Drosophila melanogaster: one gene and its partners. The protein of the gene in region 1 interacts with the protein of each later gene in a pairwise test. Each region holds a gene or a part of one and is shown in the gene's direction. Other genes may lie near its edges.

Region 1 (10,136 bases):
ACATGGTCATCACCATGGACATGGACACGGACACGGACATTGCTTGACCAGTAAGGCGGCATTTCGCGCCGGAGTGCCCAAGCATAATGCCTCCGGTGATTTCGTGGGAATAGAACCGGGCTGCGGAGGAGGTGGCGGTGGCGGTGGTAGGGTTCTGGTGGTGCCACGCCCCCGGCAGCCGTATGCCAAAAAGAATTACGACATCGAAACCCTGGTGCCGCCCTTCCAAAGCCAAGCGGGCGGAGCGGGTCAGGGCGGCTATCCAGAGCACTGGCGATTGGCCAGTGTCTATCAGCACGCCTACAAGCCCATCGACCAGCGGCGGCGACCCCTTCTCCAAACTGTCTACAAGTAGGTGTGCTCCAGGATGGCAGTCCGCTCAAGAGAGAAATGTCCGGACAAACGGGATAATGAATAATTGAAAGCTATACAAAAATGTCCATAAGCTAAGCAAGTATATTAACTTATCAACTTAAATGTTTGCTAGTCATTAGCATTAAATTGATGCATCTGTACACACAAATTAGTCGGAAAAATCGGTCCAAGAATAGGAAATCACACGTTTATGTATAAAAAAACAAATGTTATATATATTAGAAAGCATATATATATATATATATAAAGATATATGGGCAAACATACATACATACATATATGAATAAACGTGCAAACATCAAGTAACTTAAAACTATAAACAGTGTGCAAATTAATTTGCAGAGTTCGCTTGAAAAATTAAGAAAAAAAACTTGATTAAAAACTAGGTGATGATGTGGTTTTCAGATGAAATAAGGTTTCCTTTCCTTTTTTCGCTGGTCTTGTGTGACAATCTTTGGGTGCAATTAAAAACTTAACTAGGTGCTGAAAAATCGAATTGAAAAGAAGTCAATTGGGTCAATTCAACAAGGGGAAGGCGCATTTCAAAAATAATAACAAATAAATTTAAATGCTTTCGGTTACAGAAATGCCATTTGAAATCCCCTAAAAATCGACGCACCAATTGAATCTGTGGAGCCAACCTGCTCACTTGGCGGTTGCATAGGCATCGTGACTCTTGTGGAACACATGGCGCAGCACGTCCCGCGTGGACCGCCTAATGCTGTTCCGCAGTGAGTGCTTCTTCTCGTTGGTCAGCTGCTCGATGGTCATGTACTCGGTTTGGGCAACGCTCGAGCGGAGCTTCATGGTCCGTTCGCTGGTGTCGATAATGGAGACGTCGGCGAGAACGGGCTCCATTTGCTCCTCCAACTCGGCCGCCTTTTGTGGCCTCCTGCGCAGGCTGTGCCGAATGCTATTGAGTATGTTGTGCTGTCCATGGCCCTGTCCATGTCCATGTTCATCCTTGTCCTCGGACTTTACCTCGGATGGCGTGGTGTGCGACGTGGGATGCATCAGTCTTCGAATGGACTTTCTTATCATGCCTTTCATTCCGATACTGGGCTTAACTTCTGCCGATTTGGCGGACTTGCTTGATCCGATGGACTGCAGCGACTCCTTGCTGGCCGCCTTGGAGGGCAGAGCGGCGGGTCTGTAGGCGCGAACGAAGCGCGCGGGTGCCTTGAAGTCTAGATCATCGGGCTCGTCGTCGGATTCGGATTCGGAGGCATAGGCCACATCGCCGTCGGTTGGCTCCTTTTCCCGTTCCTCTTCTAGCTGCCTTTCCAGGAGCTCCTCCTCCTCCAGCTTCTCCTTCTCCAGATGCTTGGCCCTCTCCTGGAGCTTTTCCCTGAGCTGCTCGTGCAGCTTCTCCTGCAGCTTCTCTCGCTCCAAATGTTTTTCCCTCTCTAGGAGTTTCTCCTGCTTCAATTGCTTCTCCCTCGTTAAATGTCGTTCCCGCTCTGAGACCATCTCCTGCTCTAGAATCTTCTCCTGCTCGAGAATCACCTCTGCTTCGCGGTCCTGCTCGAGCAGCTTCTCCGTGTCCTCTTCCACCTCGGAAGCCTCGCTAATCTCGGTTAGTGTGCGTCGTCTGGTGCAAACCAGACGCCTCTCCACTTGAGTGTCCACCGTCACCACTTCCTGCATCATCAGCTCCTGCGTATTGGTCTCCATGACCAAGGAGACCTTGGTGTTCTTGGGCAGTTCCACCTCCAAGCTATTCCTGGGCAACTCTCTATCCACCAGCACGCCATTCTTCCGTAGCTTCGCCTCGTTGATGCTGTTCTCCAATTCCAGTTGATAGCGATCCAGCTCCTTGCCAATGTCCATAGACGACTCCTCGCTGATGGCGCCCAGCGATCGTTTGGGCGCCGGAACGGGCGAAAAGACCAGCTTCTCGGCCAGCAGCTTGCTAGGCGTTAGCTGCGTAAGGGACATGCCGTGAAAATCGATGCGACAGCCCAGCGTTGGCGTGAATGGCAAGCCGATCTTCAGGCTGGTGGGCAGCTGCTCCTCCGAATCCCTATCGGCCAGTGCCGGATTGGCCACACCCGAGGGATTGCAGGCTGCCTCGGACGCCTCGCTGGGCCGATGGATCTCGAAGGGATTGAGCGAGGCCGGCGCATCACTGCCGCGCAAATTCAGGGCAGGATTCACGAAGCCCTTGGCGGGCGTGGTTGCCGAGCGGACGACCTAAAAATATTATGGCTGAGTTATAATAATATTCTATAGCTATATATAATAAATGTATGATTTTTATGTAGTTTTTAATATATAGATTATAAAGATATTGTTTTATTTAGAAAACAAACACATATGAATGATTTCTACTGTAACTTAACTGCGACAAAAAGTACATCCATGTACGATTAGACTAGTGAACTCACCTCATATGGATTGAACTGCTTCTCGGGCAGCTCCAAATTCAGGCCAGGATTCTCGAAGCAGGCATGCTCGCGCTTCTTCTTCTTGGGCGGCTGGCGCAGGACCTCAAAAGGATTCGTGGGTAGCTTTTGTTGTTGTTGTTGCTGCTGCTGATGATGCTGCTGGTGCTGCTGCTTCTGGGCCAGATCAGCTATGGACTTGACCTCCAAGCCGGGAAACGGATTGGGTTGGCTATTCTCCTTGGCCAAACGACGACGAGCCACCATTAGCTTCTTGGGCGTGGAACTGAAGGCGGCGTTGGTGAAGCAGGATTCTGTCGACGCGACAGCTGCATCCTGTGCGTCCTTTTCTGGGGGTTGTTGCTGCGGATTCGGGGGCGGGGCAGCATTTTTATAGAGCGTCTCCCTTTTGCGTTTGCGCGGCGTCTCCGTGAAAGCCAATGCAGCTATGCTCTTCGTCTCCAGCATTATTCAGTCGATCACAAGTCGATGTGTATATCTTAAGTTTCTTTAATCAGATTCAAATTGTTTTTCTAGAGCAGCGAGGAGCAATTATAAACAACGCAGTACGACACCAAATGCCATTTTGAAAATCCACAGACAACCGGAACCGGTTGCATCGTTAGCCAACACTGCGTCCGAACCGGTTCTCAATAGGCCCTGTTAATCCCATATTACATTGCTGTTAATAAAATTTTTTACTTATTCACTTGTATCAACTAACCAAATGCTTTATTTGAATTATGTACATAATAGTATATATATTATATATGCTTTTTTCATTGATTTTAACATTTCAGTATGTACTTTAGGAAAATGTAATGTAATGTAATTTTAACCAAAATAATCGATATCGATAACAAAGGCATCTAACCAACTATCGCCACCGATAGGCGATAACTTTCGATATCAGGTGGCTCAATTTGTTTTCGAATGATTTTAGCGTCACATCAAACTAGTTTCTAACGCTGCTTCCATGTGGCGAACTGACATATTGAAGGGGAATAAACTTTTTCGACCATGAGAGCGAAGAGAGGAGCAGTCGGAAAGGTGATGATGTCCGGTTCTCGCCATAACAAATTGGCGGAATCATCCCGCGTTCCTCCACTAGCTAGGGAATATATCAGCGCAATGGCCACGGACCGGGAATTAGATCGATTCATGGCCCTTTCGTCGACGGCAAGCAGTGGAGCCAGTGGCAGCACCCACAGTTGTGCCCTGGGATCAGTCCCGCCGCCAGGATGTGCCTCCATGGAACATGAATCGCGACCAGAATCAGGCCACAGGCGTCGCACGAAGAGCAGCGATCATCGTTCACCTGACGAACGGGGGGAAGCAAAGGAACAGCTCCGGGAACTGTCAGTTTCACCACCACCCAGTAAGCACAAAATCAGTCAGTTCACATCACCGAAATCGGAAGTAACTAAGACGAAACCGAATGAATACACTATAATTCCTATTGTATTGGCCAGTAGCCCCAGTTTTCGTTCCGTAGCAGTCACCCAAACCATGTCCCAATCCGCGGAGGACATACGCACACCTACCAAGTCGCCCCAGATGCAAAACAAAAAAACGCAGACACCAGAGTCTGTCCTTAAGTCACACAAACGCCTGGAGTGGGATCCTTCTGCCGATGTGGGCTACTGCAAGAGGGCAATGTCCATGAGTAACATCAGCACGCTGGAGCGATCCGTTTTGGAGGATTGCAGCTGGCGTCAGCCAACACAGCAGCGACCCGAGGCGAATTTGGATGGAGTGCAGCCCCTTTTGGCCGAGGAACCGTCACCAATGTTGGATAAGCCAACGCCGCCACTGGCTTGCAGCACGTTTGTCAATCGCAGCGAACGCACGAAGTCTCTAAACTCTGGAATGGAAAGTTCATTGAGCTCCAATAAAGGAGATCCTAGAAAGAAGTGCCAACGTAAATCCAGGAGACAGGATTCCGAAGTTAGCTCTTGTCAGACGGACTGTCGCAGCAGCTCGCAAAAGGAGTCAACCCAAGGCAGTTCTGAAGCAAAAGATATTCGTGGAAATTTTACAACAGAAGGTACCCAATGCAGTTACAATAGAAATGATACCGAAATTGACTCCATAATGGAAGAAGAAGAATCAATTGACAGGCGTAAGAAAGACGATTTAAGGATTAGTTCGCGAGTACAAGATCCACAGATAAGTTCTCGCAGGCCATCGGTGAGTAGCTCGCGGAGGGAATCGCTGAGCAGTTACAGAAGAGACGACTCCAGGCTCAACTCGCCAAATAGCTCCAGATTGGGATCAGAAGTCAGCTCAAGGGTGGAGAGCTCGCGTTCCAGTTCAAGGCGGGAATCACAAACCAACTCGGTGTACGGCAGTTTGTCGGCCAGTAGCTTTGATTATCACATGCATATGGCGCAGGAAGTCGAGGTGCTCAAACACAATCAAAGGAGACAACAAGAGATGGAGGTTGAGCCAAAGAAGCAACTGGAAAAAGAGCAGCACCAAAATGATATGCAACAAGGGGAACCAAAGGGAAGAGAACTAAAGGACAAGAATCATCATTCGGGAAGGGAGCAGCAAGAAATTCAGCCACTCATGAGAGACCAAAGGAAAGCTGAACAGCGCCATGAAAAGGATCATCAACTGGAAAGGGAACAGCAAGGAATCCAGCAACTCTCGAAGGGCCAAAGAAAAGCTAAAAAGCGCGAAAAGGAGCGCGAGCAAGAGCGACAGTACACGGCGGCTCAGTTCGAGAAAATTCGGAGCAATAGGCGGCATGTGAACAAGGAGAACCAGAAGCCCGAGAACCCTGTAGTAAATCCCTCCACCGGCGTTACAGCCTCCACATCAACCACCTCATTAGACGTTGGATCCGGTAGTAGACCGGGAGGGGAATTGGATCTAGGAATCGATTTGCTGTGTTCTTTGGTAAAATCTCGCAGCCTCAGCCAGGGACAGAAGAAAAAACTCGTCCGTGATATAGCCAGGCGTATCTCCTGTCTGGAACTGACCGAATCCAGCACTAGTTCGCGTTCCCTGAGCAGCAGCAGCAAGGAGCAGTTGAAGGGTGAGTAAACTCTTCAACAAGGTGGCATTTGTAGTAATTCATACTTTAAACAGTGCCTACAGGTTCTCTGCAGCAAGTTGCGGCCACCAATACGAACCAATCCAATGCGAGAAGCTCATCCAAAGCTGAACGTATTGCTCCACCAGTTCCCGCTCCACGAAAGCGAGCAGCTATCGGATCATCTTCGCCACTGCCTGAAAGCGTATCGTACAGTGGCTCAACCAGTGGCTCAGGCGAGGTGATCACCCAGAAGACAAATATACCGAATCGCAATGCCTCAACGGATGCAGATATTGAGCCTTTGGATTTGCAGGATTGGCTGAATCCCATGACCCTGAGTGAAATAGAGTTCGAAGAGCGTTTGAAAGGTGGCACGGATTCGGAGCGAAGGAGGCAGCTCCACTGGGTCAAGACAGAGATTAATCGCATGCAGGAATTTAAGAATCTTTTGGAAAATATCAGTTTGCCCAGCAAGTCGCAGAAGAAAGCAAACACGGAATCTGCGACGGCTGCGCAGATTCCAAGTTCCATGCGATGTATGGGCGACCAGAAGGAGCGACCGGACAAGGAATATCTTCTGCGACAAGAAATGTCAGCTGAAGCAGAGAGCAAAGAGATGGAAAATTCGGAAACAACAACAACACCGCCGCCCCCAGTGAGAATTGAATCGGTTGGAGTGAATGTGACCAATTCTGATCCTTCCACACTGCCAGCACCGCCCCCGACACAACCACCACCACCACCTCCTCACCTTAACCAGCGGAATCTGCAGAACCGTAAAAAGATGGCCACTCCTTTACTTGTCTCAGGTAGCTCTACCAGTGGCGGCGGTCGCAGCGAAAGTGTCTGCTCCTTTGTCCAGCAAAGGCAGCGTCAGTTCCGCGAGCATTATCAGAACCAGCAGCAGCAACAGTTTGTATTGCTTCAGCAACAGAAACTTTACCAGCTGCAGAAGCAGCTGAACCAGCAAAAAGATATATTGATACAGAGGCAGCAACATTGCGGTCAGTGTGCTCAATGTGGTCACCAGCGGACTTGCATTCATCAGCAGAATTGTCCGGTAAGGCTATTGCCCAATAAAAGGAATCCTGCGACTTCCTCATACTCAAGCCATCTCTTTCTTTTTCACAGAGGCGTCAACAGGAAGCAGAGGAGCAGCCCGATGAACGTGAGCAATATATGCAGATGCAGTACGCCCAGGCGGCGGGAAGTGCCTATGCCACTCCACACCAGAGTGGTAGCTCCGGCGCGGATAAGAATGAAGCCATCTACTACCAGGTGGTCAACTCTCAGGGAGTAGCTAGCTATGTGCAAGCAACAATGGTGAGCACAGAGACACAAAATGAAGCAAGTGCAACTGGTGGAGCAGGAGGCTCGGCAATCACCAGATCGACCACAACCACCACAAATTCATCGTCCTCGATGATGTGCATCAGCTCGGACATGTCCGTACCCATGGGCATGATGAACACCTGTGAGACCACCACTACGACCACCACTCATCAGTACGATGATGTGGCATGTCAGCGGGTGCGAAGAGGGCACAAGGAGACCACGATGAATGCAGAGAGTATGCAACGCCAAACGCTACAAGTGCGTCCACGTGCTATATCCTATGTCATCCAGTTTACGCCGACGGGCAGCAGTGAGGTGATTGAGAAACCTCCCTCCCTGCAGGATCAACTGCAGCTGGCTCGTCCCGAATTCTGTGCCAATGCCAAGCAGCGCAAGGCCATACTTAATGAGATGCAGATGATTCGCAATGCTCGGCGCCAGGAGCTGGACAATGTTTTGAGCCAGAGTACCAGCATGGAGGCGCTGAACAGGCATCTGGAGCAGCTGCCTCCACCAGCCAATAGTAAGATATCAAATGGAATCCGAAGTCCGAATAATAACTACATTTCTTAACTTGCAGCTCGAGTTAGGTTATTTACCACCAGGGAAATGAAGGCGATAACCTCCAAACGGTGCAAAAATTTGCCGGAAGTGTTGGCCGCCCAAAGTCGCCAGGAGGAGGAGCAGAGACGTCGCTCCAATCGTTTGATGCGCGATGTCTTCAACAAGGTCAGACAATGAACACCCATTCAACCCGATTTGTCCATATATTTAAAATCTCATAAATTCCTAAATCCCATTTATCCAAACAGCGCCTCAAAAGTCGCGTGGCCAGCGGACAGATATCCCTGAATCACAGCATGGCAATCATGTAGAGAAGATCGAATCAGGATTTTTCCACAGCCACCGAAATGACACCCACCAGTTATAGTTTTTCATTATTATGCTATTGCCAGTGCTAGGCTTTGTATTTTTCTATAGCTTTTAATTGATCACAATTGTTTAAATCCCGAAGCACGTATGGTTTAGTCCATACGTAATGTTTAAATTTAATGTAGACGGCCAGTTAACTCCAAACATAGAAAACTATGTTGATTTAGCATTTGACTAAATTTGTAATGTTTTTAAAAGAAATAAATTGAGCACGGGTTGACGATCGATATATATTATATATTATATTTTTATTGATATTTTATTGATTATCATCTCAATATGTACTTTAGGAAAATGTAATGGCATTTTGAACAAATTAATAGGAGAGAGAGACTGCTATAGTCGAGTTCCCCGACTATCAGATACCTGTTACTCCAGCTGGTGTGAATGCGAACGCGAAATTTCATAATTTTTCTAGGATATCGATAGATATTGGGGAATAAAATGAGAAAAAGTTTAAAAATTGTTCGGCTTTAGGCCATTAGAGTGGGCGTGGCAAAAAGTTGATTAGCAAATCTATAGAAATTTACAAGACTAATAAAAATTTGAGAAAAATATAAACACACGTGCTGTTTGTGGGCGTTAGAGTGGGCGTGGCAACATTGGTCAACAAACTTGTGCTGCGTTTTCGAATGATTTTTGCGTCACATCAAACTAGTCTCTGGCGAATTGGAATATAGCAGGGAAATAAACTTTTTCGACAATTAGAGCCAAGAAACAGTCCGAATGTTTAAGAAGTTTGGTTCCCGAGATAACAGACCGGCGAAGTTAACCCGCGTTCATCCACCACCCGGGGATTATTATATCAGCGCAATGGCCACGGACCGGGAATTGGATCGATTCATGGCCCTTTCGTCGACGGCAAGCAGTGGAGCCAGTGGCAGCACCCAAAGTTGTGCCCTGGGATCAGTCCAGCCGCCAGGATGTGCCTCCATGGAACATGAAGCGCGACCAGAATCAGGCCACAGGCGTCGCACGAAGAGCAGCGATCATCGTTCACCTGACGAACGGGGGGAAGCAAAGGAACAGCTCCGGGAACTGTCAGTTTCACCACCACCCAGTAAGCACAACATCAGTCAGTTCACATCACCGAAATCGGAAGTAACTCAGACGAAACCGAATGAATACACTATAATTCCTATTGTATTGGCCAGTAGCCCCAGTTTTCGTTCCGTAGCAGTTACCCAAACCATGTCCCAATCCGCGGGGGACATTCGCAGACCTATCAAGTCGCCCCAGATGCAAAACAAAAAAACCCAGACACTAGAGTCTGTCCATAAGTCACACAAACACACAAAGAAGTGCCAATGTAAATCCAGGAGACAGGATTCCAAAGTTAGCTCTTGTCAGACGGACATTCATCATCCGGAAAGGGAGCAGCAAGAAATTCAGCCACTCATGAGAGACCAAAGGAAAGCTAAACAGCGCCATGAAAAGGATCATCAACTGGAAAGGGAACAGCAAGGAATTCAGCAACTCACGAGGGACCAAAGAAAAGCTACAAAGCGCGAAAAGGTGCGCGAGCAAGAGCGACAGTACACGGCGGCTCAGTTCGAGAAAATTCGGGGCAATAGGCGGCATGTGAGCAAGGAGAACCAGCAGCCCGAGAACCCTGTAGTAAATCCCTCCACCGGCGTCACAGCCTCCTCATCAACCACTTCATTAGACGTTGGATCCGGTAGTAGACCGCGAGGGGTATTGGATATAGGAATCGAGTTGGTCTGTTCTCTGGTAAAATCTCGCAGCCTCAGCCAGGGACAGAAGAAAAAACTCGTCCGTGATATAGCCAGGCGTATCTCCTGTCTGGAACTGACCGAATCCAGCACTAGTTCGCGTTCCCTGAGCAGCAGCAGCAAGGAGCAGTTGAAGGGTGAGTAAACTCTTCAACAAGGTGGCATTTGTAGTAATTCATACTTTAAACAGTGCCTACAGGTTCTCTGCAGCAAGTTGCGGCCACCAATACGAACCAATCCAATGCGAGAAGCTCATCCAAAGCTGAACGTATTGCTCCACCAGTTCCCGCTCCACGAAAGCGAGCAGCTATCGGATCATCTTCGCCACTGCCT
Region 2 (7,411 bases), on another chromosome or scaffold:
CAGCCTAATTGTTGTTGGCAGCATGCAAAACACAAAAAATGAATACGAATGAAAACCAAATTTAAGCTAAAACGTAAAGATGAAAGCCTAAGCAAGGACACTAACATGTACCTAGATATATATACAAAACCAAAATAAATCTAAAAAAAAAAAAACAAAAGAGAAAACCTAAAGAAACTCCAACAGAAGTGCTCGAGATGCTGCAGATTAGCTATAATTTACTACCTAATGTCAAGTCATTTGTTAATTATTTTACACTCAACTTAATTCATATTGAGTTCCATAACATTCTGTATAAGTTTTTGTAGATTTTGTTAACCGAATGAGAAAGTTATGCTTCTGTTATGGTCTTTAATTTCGTAATAGAAACTGAATTTAATTAGTAGGAACTTCAAGAGATAAGAAGTGAGATTAAGGCAAGGCGAATAATTATGTTTTACGAAAACTGCAAGAAAGAACAAACAATAAAGGTTTAGATACAAATTTTGAAACGATAAATGCAAAAAAAAAAATGATAAAAACTGTTTCATTTTTCTGTGGATTTTGTGGTATACCATTAGGCGAGTTTTTTCCTCTGAACGAATAGCCAACTTCGGGGCAGCATTGTCAAAACAGAGTGGTTGGCCTTCAAAGCAGCTGGAATACACAGTTTTGAGTAACTGGAGGTCAAGTTGATTGCATAATTGGTGAGTGGAGAGAGGATCTGAAAATGGTAACTGGATATGAGATAAGCTGTTAAAACTGTTGGGTGCAGTTGACATGTCGCTAAATAAAGCTGCCGGAAACTCAAGAACTGAAATGACGAACTTCAAGTTCGGATAAAATGCGCATTCTAAAACAATGTATACCATTCAACATTTAATCTGTGGAAAAACTTCCATGGATTCCAATCATAAGACAAATTCTCACTTCCACTTGGCAACAAACGAAACTCGCCCGACTTCAATTAACATTCACTAAAACAACGAAAAAAAATAAATAATTTGTTTGTCAGCTTCACACACCTATTTCAAATTCAGCTGAACCAAAGCCCAAATCGGTGATATACACTATTATGCAAAAAACATAATAAAGCAAAAAAAAAAAACTGAAACTAATTTCCTCATATATTGCTTACAAAATAAACATTTCAAACATGAAACTCGCAGCTAATTTCCGTTGATGAACAACAAAAGCAGCGCCAACTATTTGAGAAATGGGAGCTGTATAACCGGTACACAGTCAAAATTTAATTATATAATTGTACATGGTATTAAAATATATGGTACTACTAAAATAACGTTAATTGCTAAACAATTAAAGATTATTGAGATTCTACAACTCAGAAATTTGAAAATATATATTAGAATAAATTTTGTTAATTTTAATATGTTTTAATCTGTAAACTTTCAAGCTTTGTTTTTTTTTTGAATGCAGGCTTAAACCAGACCCAGACCTGAGGCAAAGCAATTCGATTACTTCCCTATGGGGAAATGTTGCAATAAATGCGAGCAATGCTCAAACATAAGCGGACTCCACTCGCCCGCCCCGCATATTTTTATACTGTCCAAGACTTACGAAAGCGAAAAATGAGTTAACAACAACGGCCACTCAAAATGTTAATGGAAACGCAGCAGCAGCAGCAGCAGCAGCAGCATGAAAACTGGTAGTATGCAGGCAACCGCTAACAGACAACGTTGAACTTGAGCTTGAAATACAAGCCAAGCGGAGCCAAAAGAGAAAGACGGGAAGTAGGGGGAGGGGAAGCGATACGCGGTTGTTATAAGCCAAGTTTGTCGACAACTGCATTTGTTGATCAACCCAAATGAGGTCAACGCGTCGTATACGTAATTTGCGTTAAATGACAAAACAATATGTAATAGCCACACAACACTTACGAAACGCAGATATTCGATATTACAGACGAACTTTAACAACTCTGAGCTCTATCGGGATAGGAAATCTATAGCTTCAAAACCTGTTTAAGGATTATAAAATTAATACATCTTGTAATGACATGTCTGAGAATTAATCAACTTATATTTTCACAGTTTAATCTATTGTGTATTTTGTTATACAAATTTCGTTATTAATTTTATAAGTTATTTGAGTAAGCTTTTATTCTATTTTACATAATCTAAAAACTATATTTGCGTATTAAACAAAATTACAAAATTTTATATATGTAATTTAGTTTAAGTAACAGAAAATCGACCGTATCTGTTGTGATTATTGATGTTTGCTTGGTGTTTATATGGCTGTAGTCTGTTGAGTGGCGCCGGAAATGCGCATCATACGATAAATGACGCCCACTGGCAAACTAGCACCCCCAACACCACCCACTATCCCCCAACCCAATAGTTTTGCAAATCACCCACCGCAGCCCCCGCTGCCCCATCATTTTTCTTGGCGTCGCCTGTTGTGACAGTTGACGGTTTGCCGGCAAAAATTAAAAAAAAAAATAAAATGCCAGAGAGAGAAGTGCTAAACAAAGAGAGCTCAAGGCACAGACATCGATGACGCAACAGACACATCCACGGAGGCGTAAGAGAGTCGACCCCAAAAGAGAGCGCCAATTTTTCGCTCCAAGCCAACGACTGACTTTTCACAGCAGTCATTCGCTGTTGAACAGCGGCCGTGGCAAGTTCAGACAGCAGGGAGAGTTTGAAAAAAAAAACCAGGCCGTAATACAAATACAAAAAGCAAAATAATAAAAATTATACAAAAAAAAAGTATGAATAATAAAAAAGGCAAATAAAAAAGCAACAAAGTGGAGCGCACCCCATAAGCAAATCATCGCCGAGCCACTCGAACACGTTGCCGCCGTTGCTGCTGTTGTCGCTATTTCTTTCGCCCAGTGCGTTCGCTCTCTCTCTTTCTGTCTCGTCGCGTAACGTAAGCGTATTACAAAACAAACGCCAACGTAATCAAAGAAATAAATAAAATAAAATAAAGGTGCTCGCTCGCGTGTTTCTCGGTGTGAATAAATGAAATAAATAAATTAGTCACAAAATATAAAAAGGGGGTCCAAGTGCAGCCCCCCCCAAATTGCCGCACACCCTTTACGAGAAAGAAAGAAAAAAAGTTAACCCGTGTGTGCGGCGGGGTTACGTAAAGCCGACGGACAAGCGCCGTTCCAAGTTCTTACAAAACAAAAAAAAAAATATATATAAATATCAAACAACACATAACACGAGTGAATAGATTCCCCAATTCGATTTTTTCGCACGCGTGTGGCTATAAATTTTTGGCAAACAAAAATATATACAACTAAATACAACAACAAAATTTTAAATAAATTGCAAGAAGAAGAGGGAGAATTTCGTGTGTTAGTGTGTGTGTCTGTGTGTGATTCTTGAGCAACAGTACACGCCGCACCCCCCGCGAAAAACCTACCCTTTTTTGGGGAAAAACAAGGAGGCGCGGTTCAACAGCGACAGGTAATTCCATTTCTGCGCTCTCTTTGCCACTCTTTCGGGTTCTCTTTGTGTGTGTTACGACATCAAACCACATGCTATGCCTCTGTTTTCAATGTGAATGAACGCTCGACAAAGTTGCGTTTTCAAAGATTGGCACATTCAAGTCTCTCTCTTAGTTTTTCGCTCTTTGTCGGGGAAAACAGTTTTTCATTTGCTATCTGCAATGATTGTGAAAACAAAAAGTGCACTGCTTGAGTCTAGCGGAGGGAAAACTGCAGGGGCGGCTCTTACGTGTTGCCATATTTTTAAAGGCATTACTAAGCGTTTTTTCCGCGCTGCTTTGTTGACGTTCTGTGGCCAATTGAATTCGGCCTGCACTTGATAATCATTTATATTTAATGTGTGATAAAACTTCCGTGGAAAAATATATATCTTAACGATTTCGCGATAAATTAGCTCAGATAAGCAAAAAACAAATGGTGGAAAGAACGATTTGGGAATTTTAAAAGAAGTAAAATTAAGAAAATAAACAATTCAACCTCGTTAAATTATAGTTGACACAAATTTTATATACAAAGTTAAAGTATATAAAATATAACTGGTAAAAAAAAACGTCAGTTTTTTTCATTTTCATTTCATTCATTTTCCTTGAATCTGTCGCGTTGTCATCGCTTTCGTAATTCTCTGGTTAACAGTTTCCAATCCCCGATAATCTACTAAAGATTCGCCAATTTGTCGGGGTCACCACCCAATATTCGTCAGCTACCAAAGCGAGAAACTGGGCTCCTTCCCTCTCCCCCCCTCGACCGCATATGCCCCTCTCACTCGGTTGACGTTTAGCGTTACGACACGCAATGTACTACGAGTATTATGCGACGTTTGCTGCCAATGAACAAGCCGCAACAACACAGTTCGCCCACTTGGCCCAAAACGAAAAACGCCAAAGGGGTTGGGGAAATGCTGAAAAAATATGGTTAGCTCGAAAAGAGGAAAAACCTATTTGCATACGTCATCGGGCGAAAAAGGTTCGTCATGACTCAGAGTCGAATATCGAGGAAGCCAGACTTCAAACAGCTGGATCGTTGTTATATAAACCAAGTCAAACACTACACCGAACTTATGTAAGGCCCAAAGGGACCGGGCCAATTAGTCACAGCGAATGTGGGGGTTCTTGTGTAATCGGTGTGAAATCAAAACCGAAAACCTGAAAAATCACAAACTATGTAGAAATTTTTGGTTGCTAATTGGCTTGCCTCAATAAATTCTTCAGCCCAGTTTCTTTTGTAGTTATTTTGAGCTATTTATATCAGCGTTTATCGCCGTCGTCATTGTCGTCCATTCGAATACAATGTCATAAAACGTGTGAGCCAAGCAAAAAACGGCAAGACAAATGAGAAACCAATAAAACAAATATCAAAGAAGAAATCAAAATGTACAAAACCAAATAAACGCCAACATTAAGGCAATGAAAATGTATGCGATTTCATAATTACGTCGAAAACTACCATCGGAGCATAATCACTTGGTTATGCAATTTATTGGCTTATGTGGCGTGATTACTTGGCGATTAAAGAACTCTATCAGAAGTTCTTGGGATTTTAGGAAATTGGTGAAAGACTTAAACAACTTTGTAGGAATTTCCACACCTGAGCTGTTGCTCATATCGTATTTGGGTACATGAATGTTCATGAAGATGAATCATTTGTTGACTCATTTTCATAAGATAGCAATTTCATAGTTGATACAGAACAACTGTCGTTTTCAATCAGTTCTTTACAAGCAAGCAAATAGTAATTATTTCAACAATCGCTCAATGAGTTTATCACATTTAGTGCTGTAAGTTCCTTTATCGACTTCAATCACTGCGCGCCTACAATCACTTATCGGACTTAAGGCAAACAATGCCTGAATTCAGTTGACTTAGAATACTGACAAACGCCGTTGTAAATGTAGCTATATACACATATTATATGTCAACGCTGCCATTTTGTCTGAGTGACGACGGACAACGGTTGTTTGTATCTACGATTGACATTGCATAATATTGTGAAAAATAAAGCAATCTACGCTATAAGCTATTGCCCTGAGGGCGTGTTCAGGTAGCCGGGCTTCACATATTTGTTATTCACTTAGGAACAATTTATCGGATACGGATTATGCAATAGGACTTTACGTACACGGAACTGCAACCACGATTGCACCAGGATGCACGTGCAGTTATATGAGGCGTATACATAATTTTTACTTACGCAAAGCCGAGCGGCAACAGGAACAATTAGAATCGAGTGCCTTCTGGCTTGTTTACCAACTTTTCCCTTGTCCAATACAATGTTTCACAATGCCAGCTGATATGAAAGTTGGAGCTCCCTATCTCAATCTCGTTCGTTACCTCTCTATTTATATATACTGCTTATATGGTTTCGTTTCCGAGGCGGAGATTGCGCTGTTTTGCTTAAAATGATCAGAAAGTGAGTTCTCTCGAGTGCTACAATATCGATATCAGTAAATTGCTTTCGAAAGGGAAATTTCTGCAGGGCGAATTCGTGAATTTCAAGTACAATATACAGGGAACTTAAATGTGAGTGAGGACTTAAGGTCACGTCGTGATCAGCTCCAACTGACTGAAACATTAAGTAGATATTATCCAATTAATTTCTATATTTTTGAGTTTCATGCTGACGATTTATTGACCCTCATAATAATCCCACTTTATTTCAAATTTTCTATCTCTTATCTTCTATTGCCAGTAACTCGTTCGTTTGAAAGTGTATTATCTGTCTAATCTAACCAAAAAAAAAAAAAAAGAAATAATACCTACCCAGATCTTATGTAACCTGCAGCCGAAATTCTATTCCGAATATAACATGCGTGTTTAATTTTCATTATATTTTTTGGGTCGCCAACTCGATCAGAAAGTCTCATGTAGATCGTATATCTGCGGACATATAAACACACCCTTGATAAATTCATTTTCTTGGCTAACTACCAACTTATAAGATATTTCAGCATTACTTAACAACGAGATTTATGCAAAAGCAGAAATCGCCTGATATAAAAATGATTTTGCCCGTGTTTCTGTGTGCGTTTTAATATCGCTGCCAATGAAGAAAAACTAAAAATTTCATTTTCACGCAGCTTTGTAGTTTCATTTTATTTTGGCACACTTTTGATTGCCTTTGCAAATGTAAACAAATTATGAGCCAAAAAAAAGAACAAAAAAGCAAGAGAAGGAAGAGCGATCTTGATGCCGGGCGGACGACAAACCAAAAAATTGTTTACATAACAAAACCAGAATGCGAAGGCAAACCGAACTTTGCAGGTGTGTGAGAGTGCGCTGTATCTGTATCCGTGTGTTATGCCGGCATTGTTTATCTTAAAGATACAATACGAACGACGTCAAAAGCAAAACGTGCGCACAATCAAAAATAAAATAAAACCGTAACAAGCCAAAAACCAGACAAAAACAAAAACAGATTCTCTTTAATGAGCTACTCTCTATTCGTATCTCACAAATACACGCTGAAATGGTTCTCGTAAAGAGAACGTAAGAGAGAACGGCTAAGAGAAGGTAGACGTGCGCAAGTATTGGTATAAAAAGTATCTGTGTGCCGATGATTTTGATTTCGTTACTTTAGCCAGCGTCCGCGTCAGTTCGCTCTATGTGATTCAGTGTTAATTTTCATAATATTATGTAATAGCATGTGCCGCCGCCTGGTTGCGATTCTATTCTATGCCCTACCTTGCGGCGATTTAATGGATTTAGTTTGGCTTTCTACGGCTTCCAGGGGGCACTTTGCGAAAGTTCATTGAACTCGACAGTTTATATAAGAACTGTGCCTTAATAATTAGCTCTGTGCTAAGGTGCTGAACGTCACGTCATCGCTTTTTGGGCCTGGTGATGTGGGAAATGCATTTCGAGTGCGTGATATCTGTGGCGTTCTCCAGTGGTTAAGTAATAGATACTGTAGTTCTTCTTCCTCTTCTTCCTGGGCCACCCAGTAATCCAAGAGCGC
Region 3 (6,344 bases), on another chromosome or scaffold:
TGGTGGCCAGTACCGTGTCCCCCTTGGTGTCATTCCAGCGCAGATCCAGGTACACATTTGGCAGAAGATTGGGATCTTTGTTGACCTGTTTCCGGAACGAAAACGAAAGACTTTCAATAACAATTCTATCTAAAAAAAAAAAGGTACAACTTTGATGACGCAGTTTGAATACTATCGAGTTCAGATATTTGCTATTATTACAAATAAATCGAAGCTAGTACTTACCTCATCCAGGGCCATAGTCAGGGCACCGGAAATGGCCAGTCCCTGACGCGTCTTGAGATCGCCAGTGAGGGCCGTTAGGTAGCCGACAGTGAGGACGGTGCGATGATTGCTACAGTCGCGTACCGCCACCGACAGCAAGAGTAGTAGATTAAAGGGCCAACGCGTCATGGCCCCTTAGGCCGGGGCCGTTCAGCGCGACGCCTATGGGTCCCAACGGATTCTCACACTGCAATGATGGGAACGGAGAAGAAGGATCAGTTGAGAGTAGGACCAGAGACAGGAGCAGAAGCGTTGCGCGAGGAGCAGGACCGAGCCGAAGCTAAGTGAGGACGCAATTGAAACTGCCAAGGACCCCTTTGCATAATAAAAATGCATGTTTGACAAAGGCAAACACAAATAGAAAACAGCATGCTGAACGCATTTCAGACACTTGGCTTGATTCAGACGAAAGAGCTGCAAGGCAGAGAAGCTGGAAAGCAGCTGCAGTCCGACTGCCCAGGACACAGAGAATAAATTATGGCAGGATATAATATTAAAGACTCTAAAATAAATGTATTCTTAAGCAATTACGTTCGAAATTAACATACTATATCAATTCTTAGCTTATTTAAACAACTGCTTTACTCAAAAATACCAAACTAAATTGGGAATCAAGTAGGACGATTATTTTTCTCTGTTTATCAATAAGCTGGAACTGCTGAGTGTCGCAAAGGACGCAAAAGGGAAATGACGCTGGGTGTACTCCAACAGGCAACCGGATGCCAGGCAAGTGCCCACGCAGGGAAATGTCAAATGTTGGAATGTCCAACTTCAATATCGTTGACCACTCGTCCGTCGGCAGCCGAAACGAGCTTAGGAATTTTTTAATTAGGCTGTTCAGTTCTTTGCCATGGGAATTGGGAGCGAATCACTGATAAGTAGCTTATCAGCTACTGCAGAGGCCTTTTTCCACCAAGGAATGCCATATACATTCGTACATATGTATCCTCCGGAATGGAGGCCCATAATGCGGAGCGCACAGCTTGTTATTATTAATTATGCATGCGTTGATTTTGCCATTATGCAATTTCGTTTGAGGCATTAAATATATATATCGCCGGCGATTTCGTTTCAGACATATGTTTGTTATTATCCCTGTCCACGCCAACACAATCCCTCCCCACAGCATTGTCCTGATTGTTTGCGCTAAAGCGAAAGCTTATTCCATGGGATTGGATTACTCAACTGTTCGGTCGGATGATGGCGTTCATCCCTGTTTGTCTTTTTTTTTTTTTTTAACAGGCTCACGTGTAAGTTTAATTAAAAGAATAAAAGAAATGCGAAAGCCAGTATATAACGGAATGTAGGGCAACTATTTGATTATAGTTAATTTAAAAAAAAGTTGCCACAAACGACTGGGACATCGGTTAACTGTGGAGCACATTAAATTTCCAGCAATAGAACATAAAATTGATTAATATCGAATTGCTTTGAAAAGCCATAAGCTGAGTTTAATTAAAAGCAAAACCAATCCTTAAGACATGATAAGAGACTTAGGAAAACCTTAGGAATTCACAAATTTTCCTGATAATTTCAAACAAATATTCACGAGGAATTCAAAGTGTAGCCACTTAGACGCGGGTAATCTTTAGAGCACCCCAATCTCAATCAACAAAATGCTCAAGCAGCCAGCCATAAATTTGCATTTTCGACACACTTCGCAAACCATATTTGTTTTTGTTTTTTAAGCTGTATATTCTTCAATGTTGCAATTTAAAATTAGAACTACTTGGCTGGGCTAGCTAAATTTGGGCGCCACTGATAAATATTTGCGCACCATTTTGACACAATGCGAAACGCGTTTCCAAGAATGGCATTTGAATACATTTATGTGTGGCTAAGGCGGAAATCGTCTTTCCTAGAATCTAGATTAGCAGATCTTCTTGTTTAATACGTATATAGATTGGTCTATAAACAACCTATTTAAGTTAAAAAATACTTAAGTCGGTATCATGGATGTAAATAGCTGTTGCGCTGAAGTAGACAAAATCTAAAAACCATTTCAATTTCATTGATGAGTTTTTAACTAAGCTAATTGAAAAACTCTGAATGTACTCCTTTAGCATAGTAAGGTGTAATGCTCACATAGAGCTAGAACACCTTAAAATTTGTTGGAATAATCATATAGTTTCAACTATTACAATTACTTTAAATGTAAAATGGAAATACTATATTCAAGGACCTATAAGAACGTAGCAATACCTTTTCAAATTGCGTCAAATGGGCTCTCATTTTCATAATCAGATCCCCGTAGGTCTGAAATCTCACATCATGTTCGTTATTTGTCAGTTGTTGGTCTAGAAATTTTTGTCTTTCCGACTCGAAAGTTTTCACCTTTACCCGTCGAACGCTCCTCCGGCAAAAGACACTCAAAATTCGATGTTTACTTGAAATCCAAAGCCCGTGCTTAGAGCGTAGTGGAGTGGAGAGGAGTTGCGGCAATCCTGAGCTCGATCCCGAATCCGAGGACATAGTGCTGTTGACGGGTTCGATCACTAGATCCCCACATAAACCACCAACTCTATACCCACACGTGCGCCTTGAAGCCTAGGGGTCATTGCACTTGCGAACTATGTGACAGTGGCACTACGGAAACAGCGCCAGGGCCGGGTTTACCACTGCGTCTCCGGAGCACCAGGATCCGGAAACGCAACCTAAGATTAAGACGTCGCTGAACACAGGATCCGAGGACCAACAACCGATCCCCGGGCGATCAAAAACCCGGCGCCATGGCCATTCACGAGCAGATCGACAACCTGAACATCTGGTGGTTTCCGCGCGACTTCTGTCAGTCGCGATTCGGGGAGTTCCAGCGGAGCGGCACCAACTCCTGCACCATCATTTCCCTAATACTGGCCGACAAGGTGGCCAAGGCGGACAGATTCTATCACAGGGTCTCCGATCTGCCGCTGCGGGGATGGGAGCTCTTCGGCAACGCCATTAACGACGGAAACAGCGTGTACCACAATGTGATTACAACTAATACGCCGCACGCCAGGAATCTCAACCTCAACATTCCGGATGCTATCGCCGCCATTCGGTCGCAGCACAAGATGAACTTCCGGCTGGAGGAGTGGTTTTACACGCACATGGAGGCCGATCCCAGCAATCCCATGTACAACCGGAACGTTGCTGTGCAGTTGTCGCGGGTTTTCCAGATAACACTCCAGATGTTCCAGCACGCCAGCGTGCGAAACAATGTACCCACTAACCTCTTCGCCGCCATCATAGCGGACAGTCGAACGGTGATGGTAACCTTCGATTTCCGAGCCTCGATCGTCGCCCTCTTCGACTCCCACCAACACGGCCGGGATGCGGGAGCCGTCTTCGCCCAGTGCACGCTCGAGAACATGGACGACCTGCTCTTCTGGTTCATCAGCATGTTACACAATGTCTACTCCAGCCGGCCCTCGCTCTTCGAAATCTCCTTCCTCAGCTCTCAGCCGGGGGTGGCCAAGAACATTCCGCCGGCCATCCAAAAAAAGATTGCCGCAGACCTGAAGAAGCCGTTTAAGATGAACATGCCTAAGCACTAATCATGTTGCCAGGTTTACTACAAAGTCGCCAACATCCAAGGACGTCGATCTAGGCGCGGGCCAACCTTTCGGAACCCATTTTTGGGGCTATTTTAGGACAAAATCTCAAGTTTCATATAGCAAAATTTGTGTGTTAAGCGTTTAGAAATTTAATTCAAAATTCTCTGTTGACCATCAACTAATAAATAACGAACTCCAATTTGCATTGTATCCTTAAAGACAGATTTTGCAAGATTTAGCTATATGGTAAGTCTAGTCTGTTCAAGGTTGATACAAGATTGATTTCCGACCCTATAAAGTATAAGTGCAGTCTCTCAATGTCCGTCTGTTTGTTGTCCGTATAATCATCGAAATCTTAGGAGCTATAAACAGTTAGCTGGAACTGCTAAGAAGTAGAAACTTCTTGGTCGTTGAGCTAAGTAACTGGTATCAAAGAGTCGGACAAGAGGACAATAATGTTCTCTATCGTTTAGTTAAAAGTTCTTTAAGGCACGCAGTTAATCGTCGGATTCAAAGAATGAAGACAATATACTTTTGCAAGTCACCTAAACAACTTTCCATGTTGTTATGTACATACATGTGAACGTATGAAAAATTTAACTCCTAATTAATGCTGAACTAAATAATGATATAGAAATTATTTAATTGTGAGCACGTATGTATTTACCTTTCTGTTGATATTTGCCTATTTTCTATTCCTCTTACCTAATTACACTTGAGTAAACAATTAGTTCGGGAGAGCCGAACATCTGTGTGGGGGATTTTATGCATTAGCGGATGTGGGCTGTTTGCTGTTTTGGCCACCCCAGCTAACCGAAAGTCGAGTGGCTTTAATAACAAAGGCGCAAGAGTTAAAGTTGAACTTTGTAACGGGAATCGAGCGACGAGTATGCGGTGCGCGTGTGGCTCTGCCGTATTTTTCTCGACTTCTAATCAAAATGAGTTAAATAAACACATAACGTAACCTATTAAGAACTTAGTACGTGACAACAATTTAAATATTTATAAAGTAAACAGAGAGTGCGAGAGAGAGAGAGAAAGAGAGAGCTAGTGAAGAGGAGAAGGCGAGGGGCAAAGGAGGAGCGTCTAAAAATAGAGCCACATATCAAAGAAAATATGAGAAACAAATCGAAAACCGAGGCGCAAGACGTGATAAAACGTTTAACGTTAAATGTGAAAAGCAGCCGCGGAGAGGCCAAAACAGAGAAATAGACAAAATGAGAGAGGAAATCGCAGAGGGAGAGAGCGTGCAACTGAGTTGTAATCAACAAATAAAGAGCTACAAGTTGTGTAATGTGAAAATATAAAAATCGCGTAGCCGCAACGTGGGCCGCATTTAACATGATGCTCTCTTGTTCTCTTGCTCTCTGGCTGTCTCCGTCTCCATCTCTCTCACTCCGTCCATCCTCTCTGTCGCACAGCGCAACAAGTTGCAGTCGGCGGCGGGGAACCGTCTTTATTGCACTTTTCAGACGAAGTTTTTTGCTGCTGCACGTGTGTATACACACATACATTCATACTTATGTATGTGCGTACAAATTGTCGAGTTGTCTAAAAATAAAACCTGCATACTAAAAATAGAAACCAGACGCGAACACGACAATCCATTGGCCGTTGGATAAACCAACACGACATTACATTGCACATATATCGACAAACAAACATCACCAGGGGAGCTCCTCGCAGGCAAAGTGGGTGAAGTGGCGATTTTTGAGGAACCAAAAATGTGGGGGTTTGCCAGGGGGGTGCTATATAAACACAAATATCACGCACCATCACAATGTGCGTGCTTCTGCCGCCGACAATTGTCATCGAATCCACTAGTTGACTCACTGCCGGGTGGGTTTAAAGTCCTACATCACCAGGCATACCGCCATACCATACCATACCGTATCATATCATACCATATCATGCCATATCATACCATATCATATGACAGCAGCATTATCAGTTTCACTTCCAAATCAATCTCGCATCTGGCTGATTTCTTTGTCATTTACGCGGATTCGGTGGACTCTCGATTTATTTCTTAGCTGATTACATTTTATTGGGGCAGGTTTGAATCAAGCCCTTACTCCTTTTATGATTTTCTAATTTATTAACGTAAGTATTAAGTTAATACTAAGTATTAACATCAAACAAAAATAAAAAAAACTGTAAAAATATTTACCTCCGCCAAAAAAATGTAGCTTGCTTTTCAGGGACATGGAATTTCTATGCCCCCTTTGGACCCTTTTACTCTCTATATTTAGCACATAAATAAGCTATAAAAACATTGTCTTATCGTATCGTACGATTCATACGATTAAAGAGCCATCGTGTTCACTGATAAAGTGACGAAAATAAGAACATATGAATACGTGTAGGTTCCTTTAGAATACAAACACATCCACGTGACTCAGCTTAATAATAATAATAATAATAATCCTAATCCATTATAAAGAAATCTTATAGATAACAACAGCTGCTGATAAAACCAAGACTTCGTACAACTTCCAATTCCCCTACGGGATTCAATTTATTTTCGATTTACGATTATTTGTT

What was found.
Region 2: the proteins of Alms1a (region 1) and CG32369 interact in a two-hybrid assay, tested with the Drosophila melanogaster proteins (one large-scale study listed by BioGRID).
Region 3: the proteins of Alms1a (region 1) and Vtld interact in a two-hybrid assay, tested with the Drosophila melanogaster proteins (one large-scale study listed by BioGRID).

What each region holds. Positions count from the first base shown.
Region 1 is NC_004354.4:4,629,544-4,639,679, reverse strand, and holds Alms1a (alstrom syndrome 1a), read left to right. Parts: upstream 1-3,675; 5' UTR 3,676-3,779; coding exon 3,780-5,802; intron 5,803-5,855; coding exon 5,856-6,862; intron 6,863-6,933; coding exon 6,934-7,660; intron 7,661-7,717; coding exon 7,718-7,866; intron 7,867-7,949; coding exon 7,950-8,012; 3' UTR 8,013-8,628; downstream 8,629-10,136. Other genes in the region: CG3081 (uncharacterized protein), read left to right, coding at 1-355; pon (partner of numb), read right to left, coding at 1,021-2,568, 2,763-3,227; Alms1b (alstrom syndrome 1b), read left to right, coding at 8,797-9,940, 9,994-10,136. UniProt on the Drosophila melanogaster protein: In asymmetrically dividing germline stem cells (GSCs), plays a critical role in ensuring centrosome duplication, which is essential for the production of centrosomes and centrioles in all downstream germ cells.
Region 2 is NT_037436.4:7,805,005-7,812,415, reverse strand, and holds the start of CG32369 (uncharacterized protein), read left to right. Parts: upstream 1-2,590; 5' UTR 2,591-3,419; intron 3,420-7,411.
Region 3 is NT_037436.4:19,757,838-19,764,181, forward strand, and holds Vtld (viral tegument-like deubiquitinase), read left to right. Parts: upstream 1-2,571; 5' UTR 2,572-2,993; coding exon 2,994-3,800; 3' UTR 3,801-3,980; downstream 3,981-6,344. Other genes in the region: Gyc76C (guanylyl cyclase at 76C), read right to left, coding at 1-85, 226-393.